Linked DNA regions of Mus musculus. The protein of the gene in region 1 interacts with the protein of each later gene in a pairwise test. Links are inferred from orthologs where the notes say so. Each region holds a gene or a part of one and is shown in the gene's direction. Other genes may lie near its edges.

What was found.
Region 2: the proteins of Coq8a (region 1) and Tmem239 interact in binary tests that used the Homo sapiens proteins (3 or more experiments, as listed by UniProt). The two-hybrid records come from large-scale screens. The link is inferred for Mus musculus from reciprocal best matches to the Homo sapiens genes COQ8A and TMEM239.

What each region holds. Positions count from the first base shown.
Region 1 is NC_000067.6:180,175,353-180,179,165, reverse strand, and holds part of Coq8a (atypical kinase COQ8A, mitochondrial), read left to right. Parts: coding exon 1-283; intron 284-522; coding exon 523-589; intron 590-3,813. UniProt on the Homo sapiens protein: Atypical kinase involved in the biosynthesis of coenzyme Q, also named ubiquinone, an essential lipid-soluble electron transporter for aerobic cellular respiration.
Region 2 is NC_000068.7:130,405,318-130,408,530, forward strand, and holds Tmem239 (transmembrane protein 239), read left to right. Parts: upstream 1-1,204; 5' UTR 1,205-1,258; intron 1,259-1,392; 5' UTR 1,393-1,406; coding exon 1,407-1,862; 3' UTR 1,863-2,477; downstream 2,478-3,213. Other genes in the region: 1700020A23Rik (uncharacterized protein C20orf141 homolog), read left to right, coding at 229-386, 464-701.

The sequences.
Region 1 (3,813 bases):
CCTGGACCAGTCACTGTCTCCATCCCACAGTCAGGGACCGGCCCCTGCCTATGCTTCCAGTGGGCCTTTCAGGGAAGCTGGGCTCCCTGGACAGGCCACCTCTCCTATGGGCAGAGTCAATGGAAGGCTCTTTGTAGATCACAGAGACTTGTTCTTGGCCAACGGCATCCAGCGAAGATCCTTCCACCAGGACCAGTCCTCCGTGGGAGGCCTCACGGCTGAAGACATTGAAAAGGCCCGGCAGGCCAAGGCTCGCCCTGAGAGCAAGCCACACAAGCAGATGGTAGGTCTGAGAGGCGTTCTGGCTGGACTTGGGTGGTTTCTATTCCTAGTGGGGCTGGGGCTGGTCCGCATCTCCCCCCAACCTCCCATGCTGTGACTTTAGAAATACCTGGAAGCCTTTTTGTACAGTGCTGCCAGTGGGAGTGGAGAGGGGAGGCACAGACAGCATGAGCCTCAGGCTGTCTTGTCTCATTTGTTAGTTTTGTCAGTCCTATAGGTCTCTCTTGTTTTTCCCTTCAGCTCAGTGAGCGGGCTCGGGAGCGGAAGGTGCCAGTTACCCGGATTGGGCGGTTGGCCAACTTTGGAGGTGAGGTGGTCACGTACCCCGTGCTGCCCCTCCTCTACTGCCCTGCCCTGCCCTGTTTGTCCTGTTCGAGTGGAGGTGGCCAATGTACATTAAGGTGGAAATGGTTGGGAATCCAGCCGTGCCCCAGTACTGGGTGGTATATGGCCATGTTGCCCATGAAGTAGCTGCTGAGTGTTTTCCTGTGGGTGATGACCTCATTACTGGATTCCAGCCTCATCTTGGCTTATCCCTGGGCCTGGTGTGTGGCTGTATCTTGCCATGGGCTACAGCTTGGGCTAGTTGGCTAGTCCTTGGGGCAGTCTTTGCTGGAAGGAGACCGGTCATGAATACAGGTGCCTCACTGGGCCCTTTGGCTCCCTAGATAGAGGGCCTTTTGGTCTGGGACCAGCCATTTGGGGAACCTGTTTACCAGATCCTATAGTCTGACTGCTAGTGTGGTACTGACAGACTCTGGCCCTTTGCTGCCAACAGTTAAAGCTGATTGCTGCAGGCCTGGGCATTTTATTTGTCCTTGCTTTTATGCAAGTAGCCTTTGACCCTACCATACCTGTGCTCTTCTGGAAGGACATTTACATAGTGCATGTGCACACTGCTCGTCTGCGAGGTCCTGTTGCGAGTGCTTGGCCATTTGCTGCAGGGTGCTGTGATGTGGGTTTCTGGAGGTGCAGTTTATGAAGGTTTATCTGTGCTCTGTAGGTTCTCCAGGTTCAGGCAATGTAAACTACAAAAGAATAGCTTTGCTGGCTTGTTTCACATACTGGCCTTGGACCAGTGGTTAGCTAAATAACAGTTCTGGTAGGTTATGACAGTGATGGTCCTGGTGTTGAGTTGGTTAGGGAGGCCCAGGACCTTCTGTCTTCCCTTTCCTGGAAAGTATATCCTCTTGTTTGTCCATCTCTATCAGTTACTTTCTCTGCTCTCTACCATTGCCAAAACCTGTGGCAGAAGCAACAGGCAGTTTCAGAAGGTTCAGGCTGTGGGTCCTGACAGTTTCTGGGCCTGCAGTGAAGCATCTGTCATGGTGCTTGTGTATGTGGTAGCAGATTCTTCATCGAGTGTGAGAGGAACCTGCTGAGAATGGCTGCTGTTCTGTGCAGTTTCAGAGGAGGAGCTGAGCACAGACCTCTGTCTTGTGCAGGGACATCTGAGCTGCCTGTCCTATGAGTAGGCACCTACCTTCCTACATAGACAGCAGAGGACCTGTTAGGTCTTCCCCGGGGAGAAGACACCTCAGGGAGCTTTGTCTCTTTCTTTTTGTTTCTCTCCCTCTTCCTCCTGGGCTGCAGTGCCTGGGGGATGAGGCTGCTATTGGATGCCAGTATTATCTAGAAGTACACTGTTAGTACCCACGCAGAGGACATTAGCCATGTCTGTCTGTCTGCTCTATGTGGACTTTCTTAGCAGAGTGAGTGAGCCATGTGTATTAATTACAGTGGACTTTAGGGCTGAGGATGTGGTTCAGGGAGTGGAGATCTGGCCTAGCACACACACAAGACCCTGGGTCCCTCCTGAGTACAGGTGGGGCCTGGTCTACAGTGCCTGGTTCCTCAGTACTCTTGTCTGGTTGCTTATGCAGAGGCCCTTTCCAGCCACGTGTTGTAAACAAGCCCTGGGATTTCACCATGCAGAGCAGCACCAGCAGGAGTGGTAGCCTGCTGTTCCACTCTCAATGCTACCCAGCCTGCTCATGAAGGCTCCTGTGGTTAAAATCTTTGCTTTCCACCTGTGGTGACTGGTAGGGAGTGGAGTGACTGTTTCTTTGGTGACTTCCAGAGGGACCTGAATGGGGAGGCTAGGTGAGGCTCCTGAGTTACCCAGAATAGGCTCCCAGCCTGGACACAGGCCCGCTGGACCTCTGCTTTGCCTGCGGGAGAGTTCTGTGCCCTGTCACTTCCCTTCCTTGGTGGCAAAACCACTTTTAATGAGAAGTATTAGGAACTTTCTGTGTATGGGCAGTGTGCCGTCACAGGCCAGGAGGAAGGTCAGGCTGCCAACAGTGGTTCTCTCCTCTCAGTGACATGTGGAGATCAAGCCTTCTAGACACAGAACACACACAGTAGAAGAGGCAGTGCTGTGTGAGGTCCTTGGGTGCAGAAGCAAGGTATCTGAAGATGGCAGAAAAATCCCAGCCTGGAATTCCCCTTCCCAGAGTTAGTTATCCCAGGTTTACCTGGTTCTAGGTGAAGCTGAGCTGGGCAGGGGATTCCAAGAATCTCATTATACCAGGCCCATGAAGGGGAGCCAGTTTATTCTGGGTTCATAGAACCGGGGAGATCATGATCACTGGTAGGGTGAGCTTGTTCTTCCCTCCTGGTCTGCCTGCTGCAGGAGCCTGCCCCTCTCTTGGCAGCTCCTAGGTCTGGTGCAGCTACTGATGGAGCCAGAGGCCTCCTTTCTAGAATGTTCCTTCAGGCATTTGTTTAATAACTGTCTCCCCACCCCCGTGGTAGAGTTTGTGCTTTGCCTGGGAGCCCAGAAGCAGGCAGGGACAGTTTGACCCAGCGCTGTGCGGCCGGGGGTAGGTGTAGGGGGCTCTGACTGCTGTGTGTGCGGCTGGATGTCGTCTGCCTTTTCTGTGGGCGTGTCTCTAAGCTGGAAGGACTCCACAGGGACCTTGGTGACTGAATGCTGCCTGTCCTCCTTTCTTTTGCTAAGTTAGATATTGTGTTAGGTAGGGCGAGGAAGACAGTTGGCGGGAAGTTAATGTTTAATTAGGACTCTGGCTCCCAGTGCCCAGTGCCATCCAGACTGGCCTGGGTAGGCGGAGTGTTAAAGGGCTGGTGCCTGCCCCACCAGACATCCACAGTAGCACCCTATCCCAGGGCACCACCAGCATGTCTTGGTTGTCGCTGTGGCTTCTTCCAGTTTGGCTTGTTCTGCCCCATGTGTCCAATGCATGTGCCTTCCCACAGGATTTGAAGACAGTGCACACACCCGAGATGGAAAGTGCTTTCAATTTTTACATTGATTTTTATTTTAACTATGCTGGGCTAAATGCATTAGAATTCACTCTCCATGTTTCTTCTCGCCTGTTTTTTAATGGCCTCCAGAAATCTTAAAAGTCATGCATGTAGTTGACACGAGACTTCCTTTGTCACCATGGGCCTGATTGTTTTGAATAAACAAGCTGTTTTGCTGCCATGTCTTGGACCTGAGAGTGTGGGCACTTGACACCTTTGGTTCTCTTAGTGACCTCTGTGATAGGAACGGCTGGTAAGGTGGGC
Region 2 (3,213 bases), on another chromosome or scaffold:
GGGAGTGGGGGGAGGGAGATCCCCAAAAAGCTTAGTTCCTTACTCACAGAGCTAACCCTTGAGTGTCTGCCAAGGCCCTCCTCTCTTCCCTGATCCCTAATCTCTTAGCACTAGGTCTTCCTAATAACCTCTAGGACCCAGCTCAGCTCACCCTTGCCCTTCTAAAGCCATCCCACTCCTTCCCAGGGGTCTGGATCCTGGAGAGGGACTGAGTAGGGTCAGCGAGTCATGTGCCCCCCCTGGGACTTCAGCCAGGCCCAGCTCCTGGACAGTATCCTAGGGCTGGGGGCACTAGGAGTGACAATTCGAACCATCTTCTCAACGGCTGGCCTAGCCCTGCTGCTCCTGTTGCTGACCAGCTTCCTTGTTTTTGACCTGCTCTATGGGTAAGTGCCACCTGTCAGATAGGTGTCACAAACACAAATGAGCAATTGCCTCGAGCTGCCATCTTCTCTCTCCACAGGCCCACAGGTGCCAACCTGCCACGACACAGACTTCTCCCAATGGGTCAGAGCCAGGGGGCTGGTGAAGGCCCAGGACAGCAAGCAGCTCCCCTCTCTCCAACAAAGATGGCCTCGGGACTGCTCAGCCTGCAGGATGCGCTGCTCCTGCTGTTCCTGGGCCTGCGCCTGTTCTTGGGAGGCTCTGGTATACCCTTAGCCATGCTGGGCCTAGCTTTCTGTATCCATCCTTGGGCCTGAGGGCCCTCCTAAAGCTGAATGCCTTCTGAAAATACAACATCCAATCTGCTCTCTCAGATTTCTTCTCTTCCATCCTGAGCTACATGAGGGTAAGGTTGTGTGATAAGGACAGAATACTCCATCATATTCAGCTTGAACCTCAGGGCCTTCTAGTTCCACAATGTGGACATTTGAGAACTGTCAAAGGCATATTACCTTTGCCTGAAGCTTAGGGCATTAAGAGAAGGCAGAGAAAAGGGTAGTTACAGCAACCAACTCCAGCCATGGGGTTGGAAGCAGCCATCAAGGAGGGACAGGTGTGGGGAAGGCTTCCTACAAGAAGAAGAATGGTAGGCTTGCTGGGCTCTCCTGCTAGCCTGGAGGGACCATTAAGTAAAGGACATAAGTGACTCTCACACTATGCAGTAGCTCCTCTCTTGGCTGAGCCCCACCCCAGTCCGGGTCATAATGCACTCCTCTGGGGATGGTGGGGCAGGCGAGGGAGAGACTGGGATCTGGCTGCCAGGCCAGCCTAGACACAACAGGAAGCACCATGACTTAGGTGGCTCTGCCCAAAGGTAAGTCCTAGGCCCCAGTTCAAAGTCCAATCCTGCCCATGCTGGTATCCCCCTGACCCCTGCATGCCCACCTATCCAGAGGTCCTGGGCATCTTAAGGGCTGCCCCCTGCAGCTGGCCTGGCCCTGTCCACAGGTGCACCAGCCGTGATGCAGCAGCCACGAGTGGAGTCGGATATCATCGGGGCTGGCGAGGGGCCCCAGCGGGCAGTGCCCTGGTCAGCCTGGATCATCCGTCAGGACTGGGTGCGCTGGTGGGTATGCCACATACCTCGGAGCTGGACCCAGTGGTGGAATACATCAGGCTGGCGGCAACCACTACAGCGGATGCTGTGGGGTCTGGAGGGGACACTCTACCTGCTGCTGGCACTGATGCTATGTCACGCACTCTTCACCACGGGCTCCTACCTGCTGAGCTCGCTATGGCCCGTGGTGGCTGTGATGTGGAGCCACCTGCTGCCAGCAATCCTGCTGCTTGTGCTCAGTGCCCTGCCTGCTCTGCTCTTCGCAGCCTCCTTCCTGCTGCTCTTTTCCACACTGCTGAGCCTCGTGGGCCTGCTCACCTCCATGACTCAACCAGGCTACGCTCAGGACTTGGACCAATAGAAGGGCAACCCCATCTTACTGCTTGTGTCTGTTGAGCCCTGGCCTAGGGCCTGAGCCCCGTGGGGAGGGGGGCAGTGGAACTTCAACAGACCTCAGACCCCCCCCCCCCCAATCACAAATACAAGTGGGGGTCTGGCTTCTGGGCATCTACCTTAAACCCACATTGGTGTCAGGAACAGGACAGACAGTTTAGCCAGGAGCAAGAGCTTGGACCAACCACTGAGAGCACCCGTATGGATGTGGTAACATCACTTGGTCTTCCTGGCAGAATCTTTTAGTCACATCACCTCAGCCCTACCAGCTTCAGGCTTCCTGAGAATTTCCACCTACATACCCCTGGACTTGTCTGGATTTGTCCCGGATCCTCTCTTTCTACTTCCAGGAGGAACACACACTCTGGAATGGGTCTCACTGCCAGGACGATAGCTAGGGATCTCACCTCACTCACCTCTCAGAAATGGGAAAGAGGCCAATCATGATAGTGTGTGTGTGTGTGTGTGTGTGTGTGTGTGTGTGTGGACCCAAGGCTTTGTGCATAAGCATACACTCCACCCTACACACTCTTATTTTTTTTTTAAGAATCTCCAGGTCTGTTACAAAAAAAATCAAAGTCCTGTTTCAGCCTCCTACATCTTGGCTGATTCACTACTTTTGAACCTTGGTGTTAAGTGAGCCCCAATGCTTTCATGGGTTTGTTATGATCAAAAGTCAGTATCTATTTGCAAAATACTTTGCTGCTGTTGTTGTTTTGAAACAGGGTCTCATGAAGCCCAGGATGGCTTTGAACTATTTAGCTGAGGTGACTTTGAATTTCGGATCCTATTGTCTCTATGTCCAGGGTACTGGAATTAAAACTTGTGCCACCATGCCTGATTTTATGAAAAGTATTTGGTAAGGCCAAACAGCAGTTAAGATGTTTTGAGCTCTAAAAACATATAAGTTCAAAAGGCCTTTTGATTCAGAAGCTAAGAGATTAAATTTCTCTAGGCTTCTACAGAAACTCTGTCACTCATGGAATCCCAGCCCTAAAACAGTTGACACGGAATAGGCAGTGTGGTGAGATGTGCAAGGTGTGTGTCTCAAGCTAGGCAGACACTGGACTGTATGATCTGTGTAATGCTCGAGGCTGGAGCCTGGTGCCAGGGAACTTGTGCAATGCTGTGCTCATGGAAAAAGGAAAGCGCAGAGATTTGCAGGATTGATTAAGCAGGCTGCTTCCACCAGAGGGCTTTGGACCACCCAGGCTCCCCTGGCGTTTGGCCATTTACCTAGCGCTGAGCCTTCCAAACAAAGCTGTGAGTATCAGTTACCAAGTCAAGTGACAGACATGTTAGCCGATCTGCCCCCAGCT